7 linked regions of the Mus musculus genome follow. The protein of the gene in region 1 purifies or fractionates together with the protein of each later gene. This does not show direct contact. Links are inferred from orthologs where the notes say so. Each region holds a gene or a part of one and is shown on either strand. Other genes may lie near its edges. The genes, in order: Lgals3bp, Tubgcp6, Cad, Tubgcp3, Spryd3, Cul7 and Hsp90ab1.

Region 1 (4,255 bases):
AGTGTTCAAGAGGACAGTTGGGTGTCTTGAGGTAGGAAACCTTACAGTGCTGGTGCCAGGGGAGCTGCAGGGAGCTGCTGGGAATTAGGCCACTGTCTAAACATCATAAGTCTGGGGAAATTTGCCTTTGTAATTTTAGTGTATCTTACATGTTTGGAACTTTTGTCTGCATGCATGTATGTGTACCACGTGTGTGCCTGGTGACCATGGAAATCAGGAGAGGGCATTATATCCTTTAGAAATGGCATTATGGGTGACTGTGAACAGCCATGTGGGTGTTTCAAATGGAACCTGGGTCCTTTGCAAGAGCAGCACGTGTTCATAACTACTGAGCCATCTCCCTAGGCCTCTTTGAATTATATATATATATTTTTACATTTATTTACTGTGTGTGTCTACATGCATGTACATACATGCCACGGTACACTTGTGTAGATCAAGACAGCGTACAGGAGTCAGTTTTCTCTTACAGTGAGTCCCAGGGGTCAAATTCATAGCATCAGGATTGGTTACTGCAAGTCCCTTTACCCGCTGAAGCAGTTTTGGTGGTGGTAGTTTTGTTGTTGTTGTTGTTGTTTTAGGATTTTGTTTCGGTTTTGTTTCTGTTTTTGTTTTTTTCCTTTGAGGCAGGCTTTCTCTGTGTAGCCCTGACTAACCTAGGACTCACTATGTAAACCAGACTAGTTTCTAACTCACAAAGATCCACCTGCCTCTGCCTTCCAGCTAAAGGTGTGTTCCACCATGCCCAATTAGCCCTACTTTAAAAAAAAAGGTATTGTAGAAACCTTTTAAGATTTAATTTTTAAAATTATATGTGTGCATGCATGAGCACACTTGGGTGTGGGTGCCTACAGAGTCTGAGCCCCTGAAGCCAGTTACAGGCTATTCTGAGCCAACCAACATGGGTGCTGGGAGTTGAACTCAGGCCTCCCATAAGAGCAGGTGGTGCTCTTAACCACCAAGCCACTCTAGCCCCCAGCCCTGCTTTCTGCTTTTAGCCTTTATATCGCTATTCTTGTCTCTCAGGACCACTCTGTGGCCCACATACCTTCGCTCTGCGCATGGTAGGTTTGTGCATAAGCTAAGGGCAGCCAGCATTCCCAGGTCCAGGAAAGGATAGTCCAGCCCACATCCACATTCACAGACACGGTCTGACCCGAGCTGCTGCTCCTAGGCCCTCTTTCTGTATCTTTCCACTCTCCTTCGCCAGGATGCCTGCCTGGCCAGCCTGGAGATGTATTTGCTCCAACCATCCCCCAAGCTGCCCCACAGGGTGCCTGCCTGGCTAGCCTGGACTTATATTTGTTTCATCAGCTCAGTATATCAGCTCAGCACAGGGCGCTTGGGTGCCTGCCCTCTGCCCCACAGAGCAGCAAGCAGAAGGCTATTAGCCTTGCTGACAGCCAACCCCAGAAGCAGCCTCTGTCATGTGTTTTCTGAAAATCGAAACTAGGTGAGGTTTACAAAGCATTTCCTGGGACGAGGCTGAGGAAAGCCACATGGTGGAGCTTTTCTCTGCTGAACAGTCTACAGAAGGCTTCCAGTTGCAGCCAGGAAGGAGGCTCCAGGACTGCCTTCAGCCACTGCCTCGCTGCCTGAGGGACAGTTGAGTCCCTCTCTTGCTCCCAGGTGAGTCTCCACTCTACACAGCATGATTTCTGGCAGGCCAGAGCACAGGAGCCAATACAGTTGGGCAGGATGTCCACTGAATGAACAGCTGAAGGGGTGAGTGGGTTAGAGTTTATCCCCGGCCCCCTCCTGGGTCTGTAGATTCTCTCCCAGGACTAAACCTACCTACTCAGTGGTACTGAATGAGCCAGCATAGGCAGGCTTGTCCCATCTTCCCACACAAAGGAGTAGGGCAGAAACAGCCTCTGTCATCCAGTGGACAGCAACATCCACATACACTGCAATGTTCCCAAGGCCTAGAGCGCCTGACCCAGCATGGACAAACCTACGACCACAGTTTATAGTAAATGCAGGGAGTGGGCACCCAGTGCAGTTTGCCTGGGACTCAGGTTTCCCAGAGCCCAGGCCTTCTTGGGATAAAACTGGGGTAATGCCTTGCCACACGGATGTGGGACTCTCTGGCTCCCTCCACCTCCACCAGGGTCCTTGTGGTAGAAGGAGGCCACCCCTGGGCAGACCCTAACCTGTGCTCACTGGCTGTGTCATCTGGAGTCAGTTGGCTCTCTAGCTTCGGCTCTCATTAGGGATGTGGGAACTTTGTGAGTTGTATATTGTTCTGGGTCTGTGCTTGACTAGATGCAGAAGTCTGGTGGGAACCAGTTGGGGGGTGGGGGTGGGGTGCACAGAACTAAGGGCCAAGTCCCACCCATCAGTGTGTTATAGGACTCAACGGTCAGAGCTTATGCCCAGAAAGCTCCCCTGATAGCCAGACTCAGCCACCCATCCTCCATGGTCCAATTAAAAACATAACAGTGAAAAGCCGAAAAAGGAGATTTATTTAATGTGGCCACACTAAGAGGAATCCAGTGGCCTCCCCCATTAATGGCCCAGAGTCTATTAGGGGATATTAACATGAGGTTTACATAGAGGTATACATAGCTAACTGGCTTGCCTGGGCTGTAAATCCCAGAGTGAGCTGTTATTTCCTGGAGACAGGCTTCCTCTCTGGCTATCACCAGGCAACAGCCTTCTCCTTTCAGCGTGAGACTCCCGGGGAGTTCCAGTTCTGCTGTTGCTTCCGCAGTCGGATAGCCAAAGCCTATCCTAGGATCTCTTCACCCCTGCCAAGATGGCTACAAGTGCCCTGGCCCCCTGAGGGCTTGCTCGTGCTGCTCTGGTGCAGAATGTCTGGGGTGGGGGTTGGTCGGTGGGAGAGGGCTGGGGAGGGGCCAATCCTGGTGCTTCTACTGGACCTGAAATATCTCTACTGCTTGTCTCTGGGCCCCTGGTCGGAGTAACAATTTGTGGCTTCCAGTTCCTGCCCAGGAGACAGAGCTCTGTAGCACCATCCACTACCAGTCCCAAGCTGCCTGCTGGGCCTAGAACGAGTCCAGAGTCCATTGAGGCTGCTGCATTTTGTTCTGTGGGTTGCCCCGCTCCTTGCAGGGCCTGAGGGACAATGCCTGGGTGGGGCACATCCTACATACAGGCAAGAGTCTAAGTATTGAGTCCTGTGTGTCAGCACCGTGGTGGTTGACCCTGACCCACATCCCCAGGTCACATCATGAAGTCCCAGACCCTTCTACACTGCCTCTGTCACTTCCCCTTGAGAGTTCCAACCTCATCTACAATGTCCTCACAGACTGGCAAATCTTGTCCCCTGCACACCCCAAAGGCAGCTAGCTACTACTTACAGATAAGGCCAGCTAAAGATAAAGAGCTCTTGTTTGCTTCCTGGGTTCTCGTTGCCAGGAGCCCTCAAGCCACTTGCCTCATCTGGGGACTCTTGCTGACCTGAAGGTTGTCCTGCAGAGCATGTGAGAGAGGCCTGCATGAGAGCCATCACATAGCCATCTGGGCCTTACACAAGAGTACCACCCACAACACCATCCCATCCTCTACAAATAGGACAGGGAGCCATGGAACTGCCAGTCTCCTTTGGAGAGCTGTTGCCAGTCTAACTTTGTTGTTCTTTCTGCTGCAGGGTTGGGCTTCTAGGCCAGGCAATGGCTCTCCTGTGGCTCCTCTCTGTGTTCTTGCTGGTTCCAGGGACTCAAGGTGAGTCCTGCCCCACGAAAGGTCCCAAACGCCTTGTTCTGTGGGTTGTCCCCCTCTGCCTTGCAGAAAAGCTGCATGGCAACCTGCAAGGAGCCATGTCTCAGGATTCTCTCCCATGTGGCTCCTCTGTCATTCTAAATGGTGGTGGCGTATGGCCCCTGGTGCTCCCCCGCACCCAAGTGAAATGCAGGTATTGAAGAAGAGGCCAAGAAATTTTTTCTCATCTCATCAGTGGGCCAAGGAGGGAGAGCACAGCCCGTGCTGTCCTGGAGTGTGTGTGGGGGGGTGTCTCAGGGCACAGGTTAGGGTGGCAGAGAGTCCCTGGGGGGGGGGGGCAGTTCACACACTGCACTGTGGGTCTGAGAGCCTTGTCCATCCTGGACCGTCAGCTGAGTATCCCTCTCTAGTATGGGTGACCCCAATTCAAGCGCCCAGCTGGCCCTGTGAGCATGGGCAGAGACGGGAGTTCCAGAGAAAGGAGAGCAGGACTGTCCTGGCTGCCTGTGCCACAGTGCAGACTGTCTCCAGTCCAGGATTGTCCGCTTTAGGCAACCACTGTAGGGGTGAG
Region 2 (4,116 bases), on another chromosome or scaffold:
CCAGGGTCACCGTTGGGTGAGAACACTGCTTCCCATAGGTGCAGTTTGAGAGTGGATGCCCCAGAACACAGTGCCATACCAGGTTGACAGTCACTTACGCCCCCACCCCCCTGGCCCCAAGCTCTCCTCTGTCTTTTATTGATAAGCCCTGGGAAGGGTGAGCAGGGTCTCCTGCATTATGTGTCTATGGCCCTGGTGCTTTCTCTTGAGAAGGAGAATTCTGTGGCTCAACATCCGGGGCAAGGATGCAGCCATCCAGTCCATGTTCCACTTCTCCACTCCACTGCCACAGGTGAGTGGCTGTGTTGGGGTTGGAGAGCTTCTCCGCCCCCCCCCCCCCGCCGGTCTCTCTGGGGGTTCCTGTTCACAACCCAGGGTCCCTGAGATTGGGGGTGGGGTGGGCGACAGGAGCCACTAGCAGTGCCCTTTAGATGAGAGTCTGAGGCTCTGCTATTGTCCCTACAGACAACTGGAGGGTTTCTGAGCCTCATTCTGGGTCTGGTACTGCCCTTGGCCTATGGTTTCCAGCCTGATATGGTGTTGATGGCACTGGGGCCTGCCCATGGCCTGCAGAACGCTCAAGCTGCTCTCTTGGCTGCAATGCTTCGGAGCCCAGTAGGGGGCCGAATTCTAGCTGTAGTGGAAGAGGTAAACTGGGTAGGGTGGCTACGTTATATGGGTGGAAGGTGGGCAGAAACAACTGTCTCATTGCGGCGCCCAAACCCCACTCTCTCCGAGCCAGGAATCCATACGCCTGCTTGCAAGGAGCCTGGCGCAGGCATTGCATGGAGAAACACCTCCCAGTCTGGGTCCTTTCTCGAAGGCCACTCCAGAGGAGATCCAGGCTCTGATGTTTCTAAAAGCTCGGCTGGAGGCTCGCTGGAAATTGCTGCAGGTGGCTGGTGAGGCACACAGGGGCAAAGGCGACGCCCTACGTTAGAACTACGTGGAGCCAGCTTCACCAACGAGTCAACTTTGCTTTTCCAGCTCCTCCACCATAATAACAGTGATTGCCAGTCGCTTGAAATCGGTCAAGGTGGGCGATTCACACGTGAAAAATAGCACACTCGGGCCCCAGCGAACCATGGCCCGAGACCTACGTCCCGTCTGCGGCCCAGGCGTCCTCTACCTCCAGAACAATAAACATCGGCCAAACACAACACATCTCTGTCTCCGTTACTGAGTTCACTCCCATCAAATTATCCAAGATGCTAGGTTCTAGCTCTGAAAGCTGAGGCTGAGGCCTCGCCCACTTAGGGCGGGCCTGATGACGTATTTCCCGTGCGTCTCCTGGTGTTGTCTGCCGTCGCGTGGGTGTGACGCCAGAGCGGCGGGAGTCCCAGTTCGGGCGTCCCGGGCTTGCAGGCTGGTCATGGGGCGTACGCATTCGGTCGGTAAACTTGTCATGGTCCGGGAGAGCCGAGGACGAGCGCCAGGTGGAGGCTGAGGGCTGTTAGGGTCGCGGCGTGTGGCCTCTTGCAGTGCGAAACCTGAGACGCGGATGCCGGGTTGCCGGGTGTGGAGCCACGGGCGGTCCGCTTTTTGAGCCTGGCTCACCTACGGTGAGCTTTGGCCTTTGAGAGCATGAAGTGACTCCTAGGTGCAAAGTTTACCAGTCAGGAGGGTCCTGGGCTGAAAAGAGAGTGACTATGGCCAGCATCACCCAGCTGTTCGATGACCTCTGCGAGGCTCTCTTACCTGCTGCCCAAGCTCGCCCCGGCCAGCGCAGTGTGAACAGGAAGAGGGCGAAGCGGAGCCTTAAGAGGGTGGCCTACAATGCCCTTTTCGCAAATCTTTTTCAAGAGGACACCCATCAACGGCAGCCCGACTCGTCGAAGCTCCCCGTGAAAAACAAGGTCCTCATGCTGTCCTTCGATTTGAGGGTGGGGGGCTTGGGGCCAGAGGCTGACCGTTTGGAGGAGCTCGTGGAGAAACTTGAAGCAGCCCCTGACTGTCCTTTTGTGGAGGTAGCATCAGTGTTGGACCTCTTAGTTCAGCTGGCAGGAAGTGGCCCCCCTCAAGTGCTGCGTAGAAAACGGGATTACTTCTTTAACAACAAGCATGCAGGCCGAAACATACCCTACAGCGGCTACGATTGCTATGACTTGAGTGTGTTTGAAATGGACGTTCGGTCATTTATCTCTGGGGAGGAGAATTTGTGTCATCACACGGTCCAGGAAGCGCTTCAGGTGATGGAGGCTGCCCCAGGCACTGGCCTGCCCACCGTTGGGCTCTTCTCAATTGGTGACTCTTGTGGTGACAGGTTTGAGAGAGACACCAGGGTCTCCCTCTTTGGTGCACTTGTGCATAGCCGCACCTATGACATGGATGTGCGACTGGACCTACCACCTGTGCCAGACAGCGCGGACTTCTCTGGACTAGCCATCAAGGTAGTATTTCTTTCCCTTTCAGTAACCCTAGAGGTTTGGAAAATTCTTTTACCTGGTACTGTTGGCAAGCTTCTGTCCAAGCCTCAGGTGAGCAGACAGTCATGATGTAGAGGTGTTGGGGAGGATTTGCTGGCATCCTTTTGCACAGGAATGTCCTAGCTGCTCACCAGTAAGCAAAACACAACGTGCACCTTTCCCATCCTGTTCCTCAAGAGCTTCTTGTTAAGTCACTTCTCTAGTGCTGTTAGTTCAGAAATCAGATTAATTAAAATGAAGAGAGGCAGTGGTGGTACACACCTTTAATCCCAGCACTTGGGAGGCAGAGGCAGGCGGATTTCTGAGTTCGAAGTCAGCCTGATCTACAGAGTGAGTTCCAGGACAGCCAGGGCTACACAGAGAAACCATGTCTCAAAAAGCAAAACAAAACAAACAACACCCCCCATCCAAAAGAAAGTCTGCCCTTAAGTTGTAGAAGCCACATCATTTCAAAGATACCTGGTGTGCATGCTTTGTATACCCCCTCACCTGTAACATGGGTTTCCCCAACCCACCTCCACGTCATTGAATAAATTATCATTTTCTCTTGTATTTTATTACTTGTAAATTTTGTTAAGAGGACAAACTATTACTTCTCAGTTTTGTTTTTATTTTTTATTTTTATTTTTGATTTCTCGAGACAGTTTCTCTGGCTGTCCTGGACTTGCTTTGTAGATCAGGTTGGCCTTGAACTCACAGAGATCTTCCAGTCTCTGCTTCCTGAGTGCTGGGATTAAAGTATCATGTTTGGCCCTCAGTTATTATTACTATTATTATTTTTAAAGGGAATATTTATTTCCAAATTTAAATGATGGTACAGCAAAATCTTGGCGTACATAACTTTCTCTAGGTTTAGTATAATTTTCTTTTTCTCCTGAGTGCTGAGGGGTCAGGCTTCATAAGGACAGGGTTTCAGTGTAGCTCATGCTGGCCTCAAACACATGGATATCTTCCTGCCTCAGTTCCAGGGTGCTGGGCTTCCTGTACGACTTCTTATGCTGTTTTCCCTAAATTGAGGCCATGCTGTATGTGAGGTAAAAAATTAACACCTTGTGTTTTGCAGTAGATCACTCTGTGCAGCCCAGTCTGGTTCCAGACTCAATTCTACTTCAATCTCAGTGCTGGGATGTCAGGCACACACCACACCTGCCTAGAAATTAATAGCGGATTATTTTAACTCTCTATGTCATCATGTATTGTGGAGGGGTGCATTGTGGAGTACACTGAGGAAAAGTAGACTGCTTTGCTAGGTCTGTCCCTCTAGGGAATAAATGGATGTGGATACAGTTTAAGTGTTCTATCATCACACTTAATAAATGCATACAGGGAGAGGTGGATAGTGAATTACTTTTTCCGGTGGTCTCCAGGTCCCACAGATTGTGGATCAGTGGGAAGATGAAGGTTTCCAGTCAGCTTCCAATTTAACTCCCGACTCCCAGTCTGAACCAAGCATGACCCCCGATTTGGACCTGTGGGAAGCTGTGCTCACATACGAAGCCAGCAAGCGGAGGTGCTGGGAGCGTATTGGATGGTATGTGACCTTTTCTTTGCCTTTAAATGCACTGTGCCTTTGCCCCATATCAACAGCTTACTTGGAAACTGCAGGCAGTTTGTAGGAATATCAGTGTTGAGAGTGAGAGGCTGCTGTTTCAGGTAAGCTAGTGTACGATCTTGTCTGACTTCCGTGAGG
Region 3 (3,500 bases), on another chromosome or scaffold:
TGTAGCCTGTTCTAGATACAAAGTGTAAAGTGTAACCAACTTCCTACTAAGTGGGAACATCATTTTAGATGAGTTCTGCGAATCACAGTATCTTGCTTGAGGCCGAGTGTGGTGGCTCATACTTGTAATCTCAGTATTTATGAGGTAGAGGCAGGAGGATCACTATTAGCTGAAGGCCAGACTATTCTAAACATAGCAAGTTCCAGGCTAGCTATGGCTATATAGTGACAGCTTGTCTGGGGGGTGGGGGTGGGGGGGCGGTCAAGAGCCTGAAGCAGGAAGACTGTAAGACTTTGGGGACAGTGTATGCAGTGTATGGCTACTTAGTGCACGCCAGGCCAACCTCATCTATAAAATGAATAGCTGGCAACACAGCTAGAGCCTGTCTCAAAAAGACAAGATCAAAATACACAAAGAAAATTATAAAAGTTAGCAGGGAGAAGATGGCATTTCGAGAAGTCTGGGAGGAGCGAGAGACATTTCAAAGTCTCAGCTGGGAACCAACCAATCTTTCACTATCCTGTTTCCAATCCACTTCCTTTAGCCACAACTTAATTATGGCTCCGCTCCCATGTTTATTATCATTTTCATATAACAGAAACTCATCTCCAGAAGGAACATCTTGGCAGTCTTGGAGGACTTCTACAAATTCTGAAACAATATCTAAGCTCAGACTTACTTGTTTAAAAGCCACTTGTGTTCTAAATGGTGACATGCTTATCCAAATTGGCTGGGAGCACCCGTGCCTGCTTCTCTCAGACAAAGCAACTACAGAGACACTGCAGAGCACATCAGCTGGATTCCAGCTTGCTTCACCGCTCACCACCACGCAATATTCTAAACAGGCTGGCGGGTTTTTTGGTTCTGTTTTTGAGACAGTGTCTTGTGGTTATTGTCTAGGCTACCATAGACTTTATTCCATAGCCCAGACTGGCTTTGAATTCACACTCTTGTCTGCTGAAACTCTTTGTTAGGTAACAGTTGCTATCTTGCTCTGATCTTAACTCTGTGTTAAATGCAAATTCCATTGTAGATACTAGAAGTTGTTGCCAGAGGAGGAGACAGGCGGAGAATGGCTAGCTAGCACCATGCTGACTTCTGGTCACTGAAAGGAACTTGCCCGGTGACCAGAGTTCAGTTCCTAGAACTCACTTAAAGGTAGAAAGAACTGAAAATGTGTCCCGACTCCCACATCTGCACTGTGGTATGCACACTCCACCCTCACATATACTTTGCACACAAAGAGCAATAAATTTTAAGAATTAGGGATTTATAGGGCCAGGCAGTGGCGGTGCACGCCTTTAATTCCAGCAATTGAGGGGCAGAGGCAGGCGGGATTTCTGAGTTCAAGGTTTGAGGTCAGCCTGGTCTACAAGGTGAGTTCCAAGACAGCCAGGGCTACACAGAGAAACTCTGTCTCAAAACAAAACAAAACCAAAACAAATAAAAAACAAAAAAATAAAGGATTTATAGGAAAGCATCAGTAACCCTTTCCCTAGAAATATTTAAACAGTGAATAAAATGTCACTGGAGTTTATCAACCTAACAATGCCGCTGGAAGTGAGATGCCACGTCATGAGGATAAAGTGTCTCGAGGAAGATGAAAGACATAGTGAATGATGGGTTTACAACCAGCAAGATCTGGCTTTTGCTTTGACCCCTTACTACTCCGTGAGCCAGGTCACTTTCCTCCTGAGCCCCCCTCCCCCCATTTACCTGTTTGTTAAATAAGAGAGATCAAATAATCTGATCCCAGGGACTATATTCCAACACCCGCTTCCAGATGACTCTTGTCCCCTGCTCCTAGTGAGGATAACTAACTTGAAATGTACCCATTATCTCTGAGAAAGCTCTATGCGCTCTCTCTCTCTCTCTCTCTCTCTCTCTCTCTCACACACACACACACACACACAGACACACACACACTTATCTGCTTTCCAAGACAGTGTTTCTCTATGTAGCCCTGGCCACCCTGGAACTGGCTCTACAAACCAGGCTACTCTCAGATTGACAGATCCACCTGCCTCTGCCTTCTGAGTGCTGGAATTCTAGGCACGGGCTGGCATGGACCACCATGTCCAACTAATGATCTGTATTAAAGGACTGCAGCATTAGGGAAGCTGAGGACCACTGCTCTCCTGGTTCTAGCAGGACCCATGGGAGTTGGAACGGGTGTAGAAAGCTCACCAACACTCTTCATGCAACTCCCAATCTTCGTACTGACACGTAGGAACTTGCTGAGGTCCCAGCGAGGAATCTTTACCACGCAGTAGTCCAGGCTGGGCTCAAAGGCTGCTGTTCCTCCCGTAACAGAGTTTCTGAGCATGAACGAGTTGGGTGCCAAAAAGACAGAAGAATATATAGGGTGAGCTTGCAGTCCCTCTCATAGGTCCAGTCTTATGAATAATTTCAACTTTCCCCTCACCTTAACATCAGGATTCCCCCAAGTTATACCTGAGCTCTGGCAGGGGAATGCCCAATGCTAGCTTGGCTGCCACATAGGCTAGTGGATAGCCTGTGGCCTTACTGGCCAGGGCAGAGCTTCGGGAGAGCCTGGCATTCACTTCAATGATGTAATACTGCAAATGGGAGAACACAGAGAATAAGTCACTGACACCTGGCCTAGAAAAGGGCTCAAAAGGGGGAGGAGAAATGATTGGGCCTCTACCAGGGATGGAGAGAGGAAAGGGCCTCCCCAAGCTCCAACCCAAACCACGACAATCCTGGCTTCACTCTAGGGTGAGCAGGGCCAAGAAACCTCTTAACCTTGAGGCCCACAGACCAAGGTATGAAGGCCTCAGTATGAGACTCACCTGCTCAGACTCGGGGTTCAAAGCATACTGTACATTGCACTCCCCGACAATGCCCAGGTGCTGAGTGACCTTGATAGCTGTCCGTCGCAGAAGCTGGTACTCTCTGTCATTCAGTGTCTGGCTCGGAGCCACCACTATGGATTCACCAGTATGAATGCCCAGTGGGTCTAAGTTCTCCATGTTGCATACCTACAAGTGGGGTCACAGAGGTCACCAATAAAGGGGGTCAAAAGGCCCAGGAGGCTACATCCCCAGGCCCTGCTATATCTGAAGTGTTTCGGCACTCACCGTTACGCAGTTGCCATAGGCGTCTCTCACCACCTCATATTCAATCTCCTTCCAGCCCTTCAGAGACTTGTCTATCAGCACCTGACTGGTATGGGCAAAAGCTGGAGCCACAAGAGCTGAGAGTTCCTCTTTGGTGGAAGCAAAGCCAGAACCGAGACCACCCAGGGCAAAGGCTGCTCGCACCAGCACAGGGTAGCCTAGTCGCTCGGCAGCTGCCTGAGCCTGCAGTGAGTGGGAGACATGAACCAACAAGTCATTTCTGGACCCAAAAGAAATAAGATTCAGAGGAAATGACATCATTCCACTTCTACCCAAACACCTAACAAACCTGTTCAAGAGAATTTGCCGCTTCACTGGGGGCGACATGCTCTCCGATCTCAGCCATCCTGGCAGCGAAGG
Region 4 (4,212 bases), on another chromosome or scaffold:
TTTTTTTTTTTTTTAGCATTTTTTGGTCACTGGCTTAGTTGATTTACAATGTCCTAACTTGACTGACTTCATTTTGTATGGTGGAGGTGAGTGGACCAACTGAGGTAGTTGCTTTTCTCCTGCTCTGTGGGTTCTGGGGAACTCGAGTCACCTGACTTGGTGACATCAGCTCCTGTTGTCAAGACTGTGCTGGAGCAGCTACTTTCTAAGTGTTTTCATCTATCTGCTGACATTTCACTTCAAGTAGCCACACAGAAAAGCAAACCGCTCTGGCTTTTCCTGGCTCATTGGCCACCCTCAAATAACTGTCAATACATCTGCAATTAAATGTGTGAGTGCTCAGTCCAGAAAGCCACCTTAAGACTTCTTGCTGGGATCACTCCTATTACCAAAGGGCAGTGCTAGGACCACTCAACAAAACAGAGGCTACAGGGACTGAGGACTGAGCTCTGACTACATGGATGATGGAAACAGAAAAGTGGATCACCTGAAGGTTAGCTACTGGCCCCGGGGTGGAAGAAACACCAGGAATGACTGATAGTTATTCACTATGGCCTTATTCTAGACCTTCTGATGGAGCATCATCTGTGTGGGTGGTACAAAATAGGCTGGAGCTAAGAATGGGCTGAGAGCTGAGTGTTGAGAGTCTCGGCTTGTTAGAGTCGTAGTCAAATTCCAGGCTGAAGCCGAGAGTCTCCTCTTGCAGTTTCTATCGTTGGCTTCAACTGGCTGAGCTCCAGCAGGTACCATTTGTACAGGGAGTGAGTGTGTCCGCATTCTGTACATCACAGAGCGGGCAGGGAAGGGTGGCTAAGAGATCTGCGAGCAAAAGACGAATAAAGGTATGCTCTCCATTAAGCCACCTCTGAGTGCCACTGCTATCATAGTCCTGAGTCAGCGACTAAGAAGGGAGCTTTCTGCGGACCACCGAGCATCCGGGCAGGAGCGGCGGAGCTGGGCTCCCAGTGACGAGGACTCTCCTCCTCCTGCGTCCCAGACAGCACAGAATTTCTCGTGTCTGCGTCTGATTTTTCCTTTGCGGCAGCGCTCAAGCCTCTCCATCTCAGTATCCCCGTTTCCAGGACTACCTCCTGGTGACGTCAAGGGGCAGAGGTTCCAGACCTCTGAGAACTCACTTACGAGAGCCCTGCGTAGTAGTCCGGCGCCCCTGTCCCTGTGTGGCTCAAGCGCACTCGGACTCCGCATCCAGTGCTGTTCACAAGCAGCGCCCAGACCGCAAGCTGCGGACGCGTACGGGCATCCTAGGAACGCGTTGCTGCGAGCGTCGCCCAGCAACGACTTTTCCAGCGCGGAGAAGCTGCCAAGTGCAGAAGCCGGGAGAGCGCACGCGCGTCTCGCGCGGGAAGCGGTGCATTATGGGAGGCGCGCGCTTTTGCCGCTTCCGCGAATATGGCGGCGCCGTAGTTAGGGCGCGGGATCCTGGGGCGCGGGGAGGCTGCAGTGCGCAGTCCGGGCGCGGTAATGGCGACTCCGGATCAGAAGTCGCCCAACGTTCTGCTGCAGAACCTGTGCTGCCGGATCCTGGGCCGGAGCGAAGGTACGCGTCCCGGGGTTCAGGGCTGTGGAGACTGAGCGCCATGACCCCCGCCGGCCGGGTGCTGTTCTCCCCGGCCCCCGGGAAGGAAAGGGGTGCGGCTCGCGGACTGTCCCTGCCCTGGGGGCCCAGGCCGGAGCTGCTGTAGCGGCCGAGTTTGTTTTTGGGTTCGTCCAGACAGCACGGCAGCCTGCAGCTCTGCTTCTGCGTGCTTCTCACTCTGCTGTCACCTTTGCCTCTGGTGATGATGAGTCCTGGTTAGATGATGCTCGCTTATTCCTGGACGGTTCAGCTAGCGAATAATGCTTCTAAGAAGCCAGACCCCCAAGGCAGTCCTGCCCACTTTACCCGTACTGTCGCCGCCGTAGTTGGGGGTGGGGAAAATGTCAAGGATCTGGTTTCATGAAGCTCATTTTGGAGATGAGTGGGGACGCGTCTTGAGGGAAGGTTTTAGTAATTGACATGACTGGGTTGCCTTAGAATGTTGAGACAAATCGCGCAGGTTTTCAAGGGAAGACTTTAAACAAGAACCGAGTTTTAAAAACTGAGAGAGCCTTTTGATCTTTCATAATTTGTAACAACCTATGTAACAACTTGTCAGCGTAGAGGATGAATTACTGTGTCACTACTAAACCGTTGACTTAACTCCCTTCTTGCTTTATTCCTTGTAGTGTTTCACTGTGCAGTTTGTTCATGTAAGAAATCTTTGAGGCTTCCTCGACCCTATTATGCCATGAGAGATGCTCCTGTCTAATGGAGGGAATGTGACTAGCACGTTGGTGAATACACAGTGTTTGTGGGTGATAAAGGGCTAGGGAGAAGGCGGATAGGAGGAGCTTAGAGTTCCAGTATCTGGGGAGAGTGTGAGTGCAGAGGATAGTTTACTTTTCTGAAGGGAGTGATCCAGTCATAGGCAAAATTAGATAACTAAGGCTTAACACGCCATACCATCATTTTTCTTTTATTGCATTGGGTCCAAAATTTTTACCTTCCAGAAAGAACCTCGTAGTTATAGCTAGATTTTGAAGTTATTCATTATGAACTTCTAAATTTGAATTTTACATTAAGATCCCTTTTGATAGAAGTTTCACAGCCTTCAGGTGATTGAAATGCTACTTTAAAGCAGAATCCTGTATCCTCCCATTTTCCCACCCCCATTTGTGATTATGTCTTGTGAATCGCTGGACTTTCAGAGAGATCCAGGGTAAAGCTCATTAAAGATGATGCTGTCTTCTCTGTGGATGGAGTTGAGGGATGCAGAGTCAGCTGGGTTCTCTGCCCTCACACACTTTGTTGATATTTTGTTGTGCTCTGACAGGTGTGTAGCCATAGCTAATTGTTGTCATCTCTTTTTCCTGATTCTGTTGAGCATGACTTCTTGTTTGGCCATTCAGATCTCTTCCTAAGGTTGTATTTTATTTTGTTTTCTTTGTAACATATGTTCTTGCTGGGTTGCTTACCCTTATAACTTTGAGTGTTCTTTATTTATCTGGGTACAGTGTTCTTTATCTGCTTTCTCCACAAGGTGGAAGGCAAGGATGGATTCCTGAAAGCAGTGCTGCCTTACTCCCCAAATGCTCCCCTGGAAGAAAGAGGAAACAAAACAAAACAAAACAAAACAAAAAACACTTAACATTATCATGATTTGGCTGTCATGTGAAGAACTGTTATCAAATCCAAAGTCATAAAATTTCTTTCATCTTTTTGCCCTAGAGAGGTTCTGTTCTATTGTTATGTGTGATATGAGTTAGTTTTTTGTTAAATGGTACAAGTTGAGACTATTTTTGAGCCTACCAAAGGAACCATCTTCCCTTAACTATACTTGTCTTATTCTTGTCTTGTAGACTGAAAGTGTTGAAGTGGAACCTTTAAGAGTGTTGATAGCATGGGCTGTTGTTCCGGACCAGTAAGAACCAGGGTTTGTGTAGGAGAGGGCCTGGTGTCAGTACATATTTTAAAAGCACCTAAAGTTCAGAATGGTTTAGATTTACAAGAAAATTGTACACACATGGTTCTCTTTTGCCCAACACCATCTCTTCTGGTCTTAGTGTCTGGCTTACTGAGGTGCAGTGTCACAGTCCGTAATAATACATTGATATTGTTGATGCAGAAACACAGTTGTTGCCTCAAAGGAAGTTAAGAGGTGATTTATTTTGGAACTAAGCATAAGTGACTATGGTCTAGTAACACAGTTTCAGGTTACCCCTAATGCCTTGTTTCAACGTGATTAACAGTTATATGAAGCTTAGTAACAGAATGGCATAAAGTCATAAGTCAAGGTACTTTTCAAATACATTGGCATGAACATCAGGTACGTGGGTTAAAGCAAAATGGGAATCTCTGTTACTGGTCTCAGGTACTATTTGATGACAGTCTCATGTTAGGGTTGGTGGAGGCTGGGTTCTCTACATGCCAACACACAGAGGCAGGCAGTGAATGGGGCCTTTAAGAGGGCTTAGGATAGGTGGCCAAGACAACTTATTAGCTCGAGACCTGCAACATTCTGTCCAGCTGTCTATAATCACAGGCCTTCTAATAGTCAGTCAGTCTGGAAGAATCTCTAACATGGGCATGGCTTTCTTGGGAAGTTCAGTTCACAGTATTGACCAAGCTCCATGCTTTTTAGGCTCCTTCAGGTGTTGCTTAGTACCCAGGGC
Region 5 (3,998 bases), on another chromosome or scaffold:
CTCAAAGTGTCACCATCTACAAGGATATGCTTGAACCTCTCCTGATATCGGAAGGCCCGGACCTCTCGGATCTCCCGAATCCTCCTTCGCCAGTTCAGAAACCGGTAGTGCAAGTTGAGGTCATCCATCTTGTTCATGAGAACAAACCTGTGACAAGACAGATGGCTGAGAAGGAAGCAGGGCTCAGAGCAGAGGACCCCAGCCTGCTCAACCCTGAATGTACAAAGTGCACCAGACTTGACGCCGGATGTCCAAATACATCAAGAGCTCCAGCCTCAGCCACTCAGGCAATACGTATTTATTGGGATTTTTTTTTTTTTTTTTTTTTTTTGGGTTTTTTCGAGACAGGGTTTCTCTCTATAGCCCTGGCTGGCCTGGAACTCACTTTGTAGACCAGGCTGGCCTCGAACTCAGAAATTTGCCTGCCTCTGCCTCCCAAGTGCTGGGATTAAAGGCCTGCGCCACCACCGCTCGACCTTTATTAGGATTTTTATTGTTTATCGTGTGCTCTGTTATCAGAGTTAGGAACAAAGTTATGAGCAAGGTAGAGGAATCTGGATGCTTGTTCTCACAGAGTTTCCACTCAAGTGGGCATAGGGGAGCATGGCAGATAATAAATACAAATGGTCATATTTTTTAAAAAATTTTTTGTCTTATTTATTTATTATATGTAAGTACATTGTCACTCTTCCATTACGGATGGTTGTGAGGCACCATGTTGTTGCTGGGATTTGAACTCAGGACCTCTGGAAGAGCAGTCAGTGCTCTTAACCACTGAGCCATTTCTCCAGCCCACAAATGGTCATTTTAACCAGTGGAAGAAAAAAAAAAAAAAAAAACCCACAGAGATGTAACAAAATAGCGGACAGGGACAGACTCTGAGGTACTGCCTGAAAAACTGAAAGAGAGGCAGGCAGTGTAACAGTGTAACAAAAACCATTCCATACAGAAGAAACAGTTGCTCAGGCCCATGGTTAGAAAAAAGGTGTCATGGCAGAGAAAAACAGCCCACCAGAGCCATTGTATGTAGGGAAAGTGAATGACAATAAGGTAAGGGGGGAGAGGAGGTGTTGGAGAGATGGCTCAGCAGTTAAGAGCACAGACAGAGGTCCTGAGTTCAAATCCCAGCAACCACATGGTGGCTCACATCCATCTGTAATGAGATCTGATGCCCTCTTCTGGTGTGTCTGAAGACAGCTACAGTGTACTTACAAAAAATAAATAAATCTTAAAAAAAAATAAGAAGCCAGGCGGTGGTGGGTGGTGGCGCAGGTCTTTAATCCCAGCATTCAGGAGGCAGAGGCAGGCGGATTTCTGAGTTCAAGGCCAGCCTGGTTACAAAGTGAGTTCCAGGACAGCCAAGGCTATACAGAGAAACCCTGTCTCCAAAAACAAAAACAAAACAACAACAACAAAAAAAAAACCAGAGTAGAATAAGGTGGCAAGATATGGAAGCACAGGCCTTTAATGCCAACACTCCAGAGGTAGTGGCAGGTGGTTATCTATGACTAAGAGGCAGCCAGCCTGGTCTCAAAGCAAATTTCAGAAGACAGCAAGGTTTAGACAGAGAAACCCTGTCTAAAAAAACAAAAAGAACAGGGTAAAGCAAGAGTCTATCCACAGTCAGGACTTTTAAATTTTATTTCAAGGGTAATGAAAAACTTCTAGGGAATTGTAAACAAGAAACGGTATGAATTTTTTGTTTGTTTGTTTTTCTGAGACAGGGTTTCTCTGTGTACCTCTGGCTGTCCTGCAACTTACTAGCCTTGAACTCTGGCCTGCCTCTGCCTCCTGGGTGCTAGGATTAAAGTGTGTACCCCCACCCTGCCTGAAGCCCATGCTGTTCAATTCACTGAGCCTTCTCTTCTGCCAGAACCCCAGCCCTTTTTAGTCCGCAGAGGTAAACGGATTTCTGAATTCTTCAACAGCCTGCTCTACATAGTGTGTGCCAGGGTAGACAGGGCTACACAGTGAGGCCCTGTCTCAAACAAAAGAAAAAACAACTTAGCAGATCTTAACTCCAAGTTGTAACAGAATTCAGAGGGCCGCAGCCCCTAAAGCAGCAGCAGTACCGGAGAAAAACATGGGACTCTCTCGGTATTTAGACAACCAGCAAGGCCAGTAAATGAATGAATGAATAAAATCTTCCAGAGATCCAAAAGCGGGAAAACCATGAAGAAATATTTTCTTCCTGCCTCCCAAACACCTGGCACTGTGCCCTACACACAGTAGGTGCTTAGCAATCCTGGGCTAAGCTGAGTTCGATCCCAATGTGCACATTGGGGCTCTTCTGCAGGAGCTACAGACCAGCACATGCCCCACAAGAGCAGACACCTGCGGCGCAGCACTGGGATCCCCCAGGGCCCTGGGCCAGGACTCGAACCCAGGTAGATGCCGGAGCCCCAGATCTGAAGGCATCGGATCTTCGAGAACCTGACAGCCTCAGCACCAAGCAGCTGCCGCCGCACTGGGTCCGGGCACGGCCTCAGGACCGCGGGGTCTCTCAGGTGACACCCGGGACCACCCGGCCTTAACCTGTCAATGAGGCTACGCCCCGTCGTCACAGGCCCTGGCTGCAATGGGGAGGGTGCGCGGCGAGAGGAACGCCCGTGACCGGAGCCCCTGGCCCCGCCCTGAGGCCGCAGCCGTCGCCCAGGACCCCCGCCTCGAGATCTGCAGAGACCGAGGCCTCCGGGACCCCGCCCCCGATCCCCGCCTACCGGGGCCGCCGCGTCCTCCTCATCCATAGGCCTCTCAGCTCCGCGTTGTAGCTCTTCGGCCGCCGCCACCACACACATCCGGGTCCCCGCCCTTCCTCTGCTCCGTCAGGCCCGCCCCCACCGCTAAATCTGACCAATCCGCAGCGCTTCTTGAAGATGGGCGCCCTCAGCAGCCAATCGCAGGGCACAGGCGGTGCGGAGCGCGGCCCGGTGAGCTGGGTACCTAACACTCGGCGGCGTCTGAGGAACCCTGGTGTCGGGAGGGTGGGGGAGGCGACGTGGCTGCCCGGACGCCACCTCGGACGCCTGGAGCTCAGGGAGGCGGTCAAGGGGCGGCTCCCTTGGGGCGGAGTAGGTCCCTGTGCCCGTGCGCGAGCTTCGTGTTCCCAGAGCCAGAAGTGATGCTAAAAACCTCTCTGGAATGTCCTTTTGAGCCACTTAACGGCATGGGGGGGGGGATTTTTTTTTAATGTTATCTCCTATTTTACGCGTGAGAAGCCAGAGGCTGATCTCCACAGCGGCAGCACTCGGCTGGCACCACATGCTTTCTTCTCTCCGGAGCACCCCTTTGCACCACGTTCGTTCATTCCAGGACAGGCGTTCCAGAACAGGAGAGAACATATGCAAAAGGCACAGTGGGATGAAACCCGGGTGCTCTTTGGGCTTGGGCTTGGTAGGAAAAGTTAGCTCGGGTCAGAATGTACCGGAAAGGATACTAATCTTTATCATGCACCTCCTATAAAGGGTATGATTGTCCTTGGAAGGAATTGGGATTCTTGGACGACTTCAACGTTTTGCTCTTAAGACTGAATATTCTTTCCAGAAAGACTCATCCTGTGTCAGAAACATAAACGAACATATTTGTGTCTTTCCACATCTAAATTTATTGAGTATCAAATACATCAGCAAGCGATGTCAGCTTCATTGGCGGCAATTTGCCAATTAGACCTGATTTACATTGATAATGGGCCCTTACCAAACACATGAACTTTTACTTTAATATTAATTACTAACTCTTGGGTCACAGATTACATATCCTGTGTGTACTTATGTAGGTTAACAACATGGCTAGAAAAGGGTTAAAGAAGCCACAGCATAATTCAAGAGTTCAGAGGCCTTACTAGAGACAAGAGCTGATAGAGTGCAAAGTCACTGCAGCCAGAGAACAAACCTAGCTGGGGAGCTGCTGAAGGTTCCAGCCTGGGATGCAGCCATAGCTGCAGGTCACAGGGCTGAACACCTTCAGAGGCAAAATGTGAGACTGGGTATGGATGAATA
Region 6 (2,264 bases), on another chromosome or scaffold:
CTAGCCTGGTCTGCATAGTGAACTGTAAATCAGCCAGAGCTACATAAAGAGACCCTCTCAGAAAATAGAAAGAGTGGGTGTGAGATTCCTTCCTGATTGGTCACATTTAGTTCCCAAAGTATTCACTGGGCATCAGATTCTAGCCTGGGCAACAAGAGCAGGTGAAGAGCAGAGCACCACCCCCCCTCCCCCCAGGAGTCACCAGACAAGCAGGAGGGCAAACCTTCCTGGCTCAATTCTGTCTGTGCATAATTCAGAGGGCATGGCTGCAGCCTGCTTGGCACAGACTGACTCCTTGTTAGCCAAGGCTTTTTAGGGAAGCTGAGATCAGAAGCCATCGTGCCCAGAAGTCCTGCCTGGGTCTCTACACTGCGGAGACCAGCAAGGCAAAGCTTGACCAACAGAGCATGCCCTCCCCCCTTACCCTCCCCCCTTCTCTCACCTGGCATTTCTCCAGGTCAGAGCCGCTCCAGCTTAGAGAAAGAGCCACAGAGGCGGCTGCAGTGGACCTGGCAGGGCCGGGCAGAAGTGCAGTTCGGGGGTCAGATTCTGCATGTGTCCACAGTACAGATGTGGCTGCTGCTGCATCTCAACAACCAAAAGGTGGCCTGTCCTGTCCCTCTGCTTGCCCTGCCTATTCACTTCTGTTCTCTTGCCTCCATCCTCCCCAGCTCACCCCCCCCCCCCCCCGAGGATCTAAACTCTTTGTATCTCTTCTAAGGAGGTGTCTGTCGAGAGCCTGCAGGCTATCTCGGAGCTCCCTCCAGATGTGCTTCACAGGGCCATCGGGCCTCTCACCTCATCAAGAGGTCCCTTGGACCTGCAGGAGCAGAAGAACGTACCAGGAGGTATGCACTCAGGGCCAAGGCAGACTGCTCTGAGTCAGGAATCGGCTTCCCCGGGCCCTCCCCAGGCAAGTGACCAATGTTCCTTACAGGGGTGCTCAAGATTCGAGATGACAGTGAGGAACCCAGGCCGAGGAGGGGCAACGTGTGGCTGATCCCACCTCAGACATACCTACAAGCTGAGGCCGAAGAGGGCCGGAACATGGAGAAGAGAAGGAATCTTCTGAATTGCCTTGTTGTCCGAATCCTCAAGGCTCACGGGGATGAAGGCTTGCATGTTGACCGGCTCGTCTATCTGGTAGGCAGTGGTGGGCATGGCCATGGGGGAGATGCCCAGAGGTAATGGTAGGCATGGCCATGGGAGAGATGCCCACAAGTGATGGTGGGCTCGTATTTGAAGTGTCTAACTCATGGTGCAGCCTCTCAGTGTGTGACACATGTCCCAGAATGTGTGACTAACACAGAAGACAGTGGTAAGGACTGTGGTTTTGACCTGTCCTTTCCTTCTGATCCTGCTATCAGGTGCTAGAAGCGTGGGAGAAAGGCCCGTGTCCTGCTAGGGGTCTGGTCAGCAGCCTCGGCAGGGGAGCAACCTGCAGGAGCTCTGATGTCCTCTCCTGCATCCTGCACCTCCTGGTCAAGGGCACGCTGAGACGCCATGACGACCGGCCGCAGGTGCTGTACTATGCAGTTCCTGTAACTGTGATGGAGCCCCACATGGAGTCCCTGAACCCTGGCTCGGCAGGCCCCAATCCACCCCTCACCTTCCACACCCTGCAGATTCGATCCCGGGGTGTGCCTTACGCCTCCTGCACTGATAACCACACCTTCTCCACTTTCCGGTAGCCCTGGATATGGGGTTGGGGGTAGGTGAGGCTGGGGCTTTCTACAGAAAATAAAATGCTGGAATTTGAAGCTATGACCTGTATGGGACTGCTAGAGATCGGTGAATGGGGCGTGGGGACTCCAGTTGATGGGGAAGGGGGCCTCTGGCATGGAAGCAGCTTCCTGACCCATCAGGAGGCTTGTCAAGGTCTGGGAAGGTGGATTAGAGAGCAAAGGAAATGTCAGGTGTGTCAACAGCTAAGCCTGGATCTGGGTCCCTCCTTGGAGGCTGTGGCTAGGACTCTGACCGTGCAGGCTGCACACACAAGTCCACTTGGCCACCTTCTTCGCAGTTTGGGCAGGTTATCAAACACGGCCTCTTTGCCCTCATTTGTAGCTGGAGAGAAGTGACTAAGAAGTGACCAGTCGGTCTGTGTCTGTTTTAGCCACCACTCCCAGTGCAAGCTGCCCTCACTGGGGCCTACCCTGAGTAAAAGGTGACCAGGGGAAGAGACCTCTGCAAGCTCCCAAAGCGCGACCACCTTCTGCTGATGGCGTAGGACCTGGTTGGTGAACATCCTAGAAGGGAGTGTG
Region 7 (4,293 bases), on another chromosome or scaffold:
TTCAATCTTAGGCTTCTCCTCATCCTCCTTATCTTCCTCCTCTTTCTCACCTTTCTCTTCCTCTGCCTCATCATCACTGATCTCCTTCTCCCGTTCCTTCTCCAACTAAATCACCAATGACACATGTAATTAATTGTGGAGAATGTAGCACCAGCAAGGCCCAGTGCCATTAGCCTGCTCCAACACTGCCAAGCCCATACTCACATAGAGGGTGATGGGATAGCCTATGAACTGCGAATGTTTCTTCACCACTTCCTTGACCCTCCTCTCCTCCAAGTACTCTGTCTGGTCTTCTTTGAGGTGAAGGATCACTTTGGTACCCCGGCCAATGGGCTCACCTACAGAGAACAAATCAAGACATGAAAAACTGAAACTAAAATACAAGAACGAACTACGCTTTTTTCGTTCCTGGTTTCTCAAGCAAGCTAAGATTCCTGTGTAGCCCCTTTGCTTGCCTTAAGAACTCACCCAAGTGCTGGCACTCACCACCCCTTAAAATGTACTTTTATAGAATACAACGTCTAAGGTTTCCCCACAATGTAGCCTGCTGCCTCACCATGGTCTGCCCGGACGGTGAAGGAGCCACCCGCAGACGACTCCCAGGCATACTGCTCATCATCATTGTGCTTCGTGATCACAACCACTTTCTCTGCAACTAGATAGGCCGAGTAGAATCCGACACCAAACTGCCCGATCATGGAGATGTCTGCACCAGCCTGCAAAGGGTTTGAAGTAAAGAGGATCAGCAACATGGTTCTTGGCCAAGTATAACCATCTGCTGCGCAAGGTAACAATCAGTTCAATGTCCAGAGATCTAGGGGTCAAAGCTGTCCTGACCAACCACTTGTACTTTTTTTCTAATAAGTGTCCTAATATGTAATACCCTAGACAGACAAATTTTAACTTAAGCAGTAACAAATTAGAGGACGGTGTGGATGAAAGGCCACACACCTGGAGAGCCTCCATGAACGCCTTCGTGCCAGACTTAGCAATGGTTCCCAGGTTATTAATGAGGTCAGCCTTGGTCATGCCAATGCCTGTGTCCACCAAAGTCAGCGTGCGCTCCTGAGGGTTGGGGATGATGTCAATTTTCAGCTCTTTCCCACTGTCCAACTTAGAAGGGTCCGTCAGGCTCTCATATCGAATCTTGTCCAGGGCCTGTAGTAAACGCAAAAAGCCAGATTATTTTATTTTTCCAAACAGTCCCTCCCCCTTCAACATCAACTGAACTGTTCTTCTCAATCACTCCCACACACACACACACTTCCGTGAAGCCTTAGAAATTCAACAACAGAATACTCACATCTGAAGCATTAGAGATCAACTCGCGGAGGAAAATCTCCTTGTTTGAATAGAAAGTGTTGATGATGAGGGACATGAGCTGGGCAATTTCTGCCTGAAAGGCAAAGGTCTCCACCTCCTCCTCTCCATGGTGCACTTCCTCAGGCATCTAAGAATGAAAGAATTACTACTAAGGACCATTATAGACACACATTTTAATATCCAGCTCAAACTTCTTTAGTCTGGGAAAGTATCCAACCCAAAGAGACAAGAGCAGCCATTTTCTTTAAAAAAGGACATTTAAGCTACAATGGCCAAGACAAAAATGACAGAAAAAAACCTAAAAGATGGGTTTTCCAGAACAGATGCCCAAAAGTCAAACTCTTGAACATTGGCATGTTCAGTGCATAGCTCACTGACTCTGAACAGAACACCTGGCAATATGGTAAAAATCCAGACTAAGTTAACAATACATAAAAAAGAACCTCAAGCAACCCCTGGTACTCACACCCCTTAACTACAATCTCCTCATTGGGGTGAGGAACAACTTTAACAGAAAAAGCAGTCTTTTTTAATTTTTATTTTATTCCACCCAGCAGGGCAAGAGAACCTTGAAGCTGTAGTCTGGGAGGCGCTCACGGGGCAATTAAATCAGGACAAAGAAATCAAGAGCTCCACCGTGACCACTCACTGTGCAGACTTGCATAGGCCGGAACCCAAGTAAAATGGTGGCCCAGCCGTCCAACGACCCTCGTCACTGCCGGACATGCGTCGGCAGGAGCCACACGGGGAGGGGGCGCCATTGAAACCCTCCCACCGCCCCAGCATCCGGGCACTGGGGCGGGGCGCCCAGGCTTCCAGAACAATCTGAGCTCCGGGGAGGGGAGGAGAAAGGGAGGGACCTAGGAATCTTCTCGTGCCTGCTCTGTCTCTCCTCCCCCGCCCTCCACTGGGAGGGCAGAAAGATCTGGAAAGGGAAAGCGCGGTGGGTTCCGGCGTCCCTGCTGTGCACCCCTCCCCAAAATCAAGCACGTTGGTACCGGCGGCGTCCGGGGGAGGCAGCCAGGCCAACCTCCCCAGGCCTTGCTGAGTCACGCAGAGCAGCCCGCCACCGCGCGGACCCTGCAGCCGCGCCCGGAAGTGGAGGGCAAACATGGCAGCGTCCCGGGTCGGCGACTACCACGTGCGGCCGCCCACCACCTGGCCGGGCCGCACCCCCACCCCACGCTCCGGGGAATCCACCCGCCCCGGGGAGCCTCGCGTGCAAGCCCGCCGGGGTACAGCCCGAACCTCTAACCTCTAGACACGTTATCTCCACAGGCTGCCCCGCCGGGGAAGGAGGCTTTGGGACAGATGAGATGGAGGCTGGGACCCCGGGAAGAAGCCCCCGGAGAGCCGCCGGGGACGAGAGACCCCGGCCTTACCTTGACGGGAAAGCCGAGTAGTAGTACAGAGCAGGGTGGTGGGCCCGGACCAAGTCCGACTCGCACGGCAAGCCTAGGCTGCGCGGGGGTGACTCAAGAGAGCTCCCGAACGCCCCCGACCGCCCTATATAAGGCGAAGCACAGCCCGGGCCCCGCCCTTGGATCCCTCCGCCTTAAAGGAGTGGCTGCGGGCCACGCACCTGCCGCCGCCCGCCCACCTTGACGTCATGGTAGCAGATCGTGGAGGGGGCGGGGAGGAGCGGGACCCCGGGCCTGGTTCCTGAGTCAAGGCCAATTCAATATCGTTTTGCACATCCCCCATTTCTGCAGGAGTAGGACATGTCCCCCCTCAAGATGAGCAGGGAGCATGCATATGCAATTAGGGATGTATCTGCGGGCGAATACCCTACGGACTGCCTCAGAAAACTCAAGGTAGGCGCTTCCACCCCCCCACCCCCCAAGAGTCCAGAACTCAGGGGACTGAAAGAGAATGGAGGTGGCCAACTCGGCTGCCATTTCCAGACCCGATCTTACTAGAATGTTCCCTACAAATCGCACATCAAGAGAAAAGGATGATAAATTCCTTGTCCAACTTTAAGGAGGCCCCCGATTCCCCCATCCCCACCCTCCCGGGTACAGCACAGCTTCAGGCTGGGAGCCGCTTTCCCCGAGGGGAGGGGCACGGGCCTGGGCTGGTAGGGACTCTTTGGCGGCCTGCGGCGGAAGGATCAGCAGCGGTGGTGCTGCGATTTCTTCCAGCAGTTTCTAGGCCTGTCTCGGCGGTCTCCACCCCTCCCCCCTAGGCTCCACCTCCCCTGCTGCGGCGGGGGCAGTGTCTTCGTCGCCGCTTGGCTGGGTGGCTTTTTTTTTTTTTTTTTTTCCCCTACCTTGATCTTACCCTGGGAAGAAATTTTCCCCAAGTCTGCCTACCGTGGGCCAGGGTTGAACGACCCTCCACGCGTGGCCCTAAGAGGCCCACATAACAGTGGGGGAGTGGAGCGCAGAGGGAGGGATAGCTGACCTGGATCGGTCACAGGGCACGGGGGCTGTGGGGGTGAGTGACTGCGGACACCTTCTAGTGAACAGAGAACCGAGCTAGCAGCTTGCGCTACTGGGTAGAACACTCCCCACCCCTCAGCCTCCCCGGTCTCCCACGTACACAGCGCGCGGGTACGTGCGCCCTCCCTATGTGAGCACAAGCTGTTTCTCAAGCTGGTTTCGCTTCTCTAGCCTCTTCCCTACTGCATGCAGCTCTTTGGACCTAGAGAGGAGCAGGTCCCAGTCTTTTCAGAGAAGCTGGAGTTCTAGGCATCCGCATGAAGGTGCTGGTCACAGGTTGGCCCAGTTCCAGGAGCCAGAAAACCAAGTTGTGCCAGTGCCTCTGTTCTAAAGGTGGCCTGCCATGTCCTTCAGCTGGCAATCTAGCCTTGCCTTTTTCCAAGGCTGCATCTGGAAGCTTGTTGGACTGATGAGCCCTCCAGTAGAGGATGGGCACTCAGTGCTCTGCTATCTTAGCTCATGCTGGCTTGTGTCCCCACACCACCGCCCACACCTTTGTTCCCGGTGCTTGCCTGCAGTCTGTCTAATG

What was found.
Region 2: the proteins of Lgals3bp (region 1) and Tubgcp6 purify together in Homo sapiens (co-immunoprecipitation; 4 studies listed by BioGRID and IntAct, counting the BioPlex papers as one, with this or other methods). This does not show direct contact. The link is inferred for Mus musculus from reciprocal best matches to the Homo sapiens genes LGALS3BP and TUBGCP6.
Region 3: the proteins of Lgals3bp (region 1) and Cad purify together in Homo sapiens (co-immunoprecipitation; 3 studies listed by BioGRID and IntAct, with this or other methods). This does not show direct contact. The link is inferred for Mus musculus from reciprocal best matches to the Homo sapiens genes LGALS3BP and CAD.
Region 4: the proteins of Lgals3bp (region 1) and Tubgcp3 purify together in Homo sapiens (affinity purification with mass spectrometry; 4 studies listed by BioGRID and IntAct, counting the BioPlex papers as one, with this or other methods). This does not show direct contact. The link is inferred for Mus musculus from reciprocal best matches to the Homo sapiens genes LGALS3BP and TUBGCP3.
Region 5: the proteins of Lgals3bp (region 1) and Spryd3 purify together in Homo sapiens (co-immunoprecipitation; 3 studies listed by BioGRID and IntAct, counting the BioPlex papers as one, with this or other methods). This does not show direct contact. The link is inferred for Mus musculus from reciprocal best matches to the Homo sapiens genes LGALS3BP and SPRYD3.
Region 6: the proteins of Lgals3bp (region 1) and Cul7 purify together in Homo sapiens (affinity purification with mass spectrometry; 3 studies listed by BioGRID and IntAct, with this or other methods). This does not show direct contact. The link is inferred for Mus musculus from reciprocal best matches to the Homo sapiens genes LGALS3BP and CUL7.
Region 7: the proteins of Lgals3bp (region 1) and Hsp90ab1 purify together in Homo sapiens (affinity purification with mass spectrometry; 3 studies listed by BioGRID and IntAct, with this or other methods). This does not show direct contact. The link is inferred for Mus musculus from reciprocal best matches to the Homo sapiens genes LGALS3BP and HSP90AB1.

What each region holds. Positions count from the first base shown.
Region 1 is NC_000077.6:118,399,160-118,403,414, reverse strand, and holds the start of Lgals3bp (galectin-3-binding protein precursor), read left to right. Parts: upstream 1-1,455; 5' UTR 1,456-1,629; intron 1,630-3,613; 5' UTR 3,614-3,635; coding exon 3,636-3,687; intron 3,688-4,255.
Region 2 is NC_000081.6:89,120,351-89,124,466, reverse strand, and holds the start of Tubgcp6 (gamma-tubulin complex component 6), read left to right. Parts: upstream 1-1,316; 5' UTR 1,317-1,649; coding exon 1,650-2,390; intron 2,391-3,793; coding exon 3,794-3,957; intron 3,958-4,116. Other genes in the region: polyamine deacetylase HDAC10, read left to right, coding at 211-292, 466-648, 743-902, 988-1,001. UniProt on the Homo sapiens protein: Component of the gamma-tubulin ring complex (gTuRC) which mediates microtubule nucleation.
Region 3 is NC_000071.6:31,061,280-31,064,779, reverse strand, and holds part of Cad (CAD protein), read right to left. Parts: coding exon 3,430-3,500; intron 3,324-3,429; coding exon 3,102-3,323; intron 3,003-3,101; coding exon 2,814-3,002; intron 2,580-2,813; coding exon 2,455-2,579; intron 2,319-2,454; coding exon 2,188-2,318; intron 1-2,187. UniProt on the Homo sapiens protein: Multifunctional protein that encodes the first 3 enzymatic activities of the de novo pyrimidine pathway: carbamoylphosphate synthetase (CPSase; EC 6.3.5.5), aspartate transcarbamylase (ATCase; EC 2.1.3.2) and dihydroorotase (DHOase; EC 3.5.2.3).
Region 4 is NC_000074.6:12,669,301-12,673,512, reverse strand, and holds the start of Tubgcp3 (gamma-tubulin complex component 3), read left to right. Parts: upstream 1-1,412; 5' UTR 1,413-1,482; coding exon 1,483-1,558; intron 1,559-4,212. UniProt on the Homo sapiens protein: Component of the gamma-tubulin ring complex (gTuRC) which mediates microtubule nucleation.
Region 5 is NC_000081.6:102,133,416-102,137,413, forward strand, and holds the start of Spryd3 (SPRY domain-containing protein 3), read right to left. Parts: upstream 2,801-3,998; 5' UTR 2,744-2,800; coding exon 2,721-2,743; intron 148-2,720; coding exon 1-147.
Region 6 is NC_000083.6:46,662,601-46,664,864, forward strand, and holds the end of Cul7 (cullin-7), read left to right. Parts: intron 1-457; coding exon 458-603; intron 604-721; coding exon 722-848; intron 849-937; coding exon 938-1,143; intron 1,144-1,367; coding exon 1,368-1,691; 3' UTR 1,692-1,764; downstream 1,765-2,264. UniProt on the Homo sapiens protein: Core component of the 3M and Cul7-RING(FBXW8) complexes, which mediate the ubiquitination and subsequent proteasomal degradation of target proteins. Core component of the 3M complex, a complex required to regulate microtubule dynamics and genome integrity.
Region 7 is NC_000083.6:45,570,462-45,574,754, forward strand, and holds the start of Hsp90ab1 (heat shock protein HSP 90-beta), read right to left. Parts: upstream 2,801-4,293; 5' UTR 2,706-2,800; intron 1,451-2,705; coding exon 1,304-1,450; intron 1,159-1,303; coding exon 952-1,158; intron 717-951; coding exon 557-716; intron 339-556; coding exon 205-338; intron 106-204; coding exon 1-105. UniProt on the Homo sapiens protein: Molecular chaperone that promotes the maturation, structural maintenance and proper regulation of specific target proteins involved for instance in cell cycle control and signal transduction. Undergoes a functional cycle linked to its ATPase activity.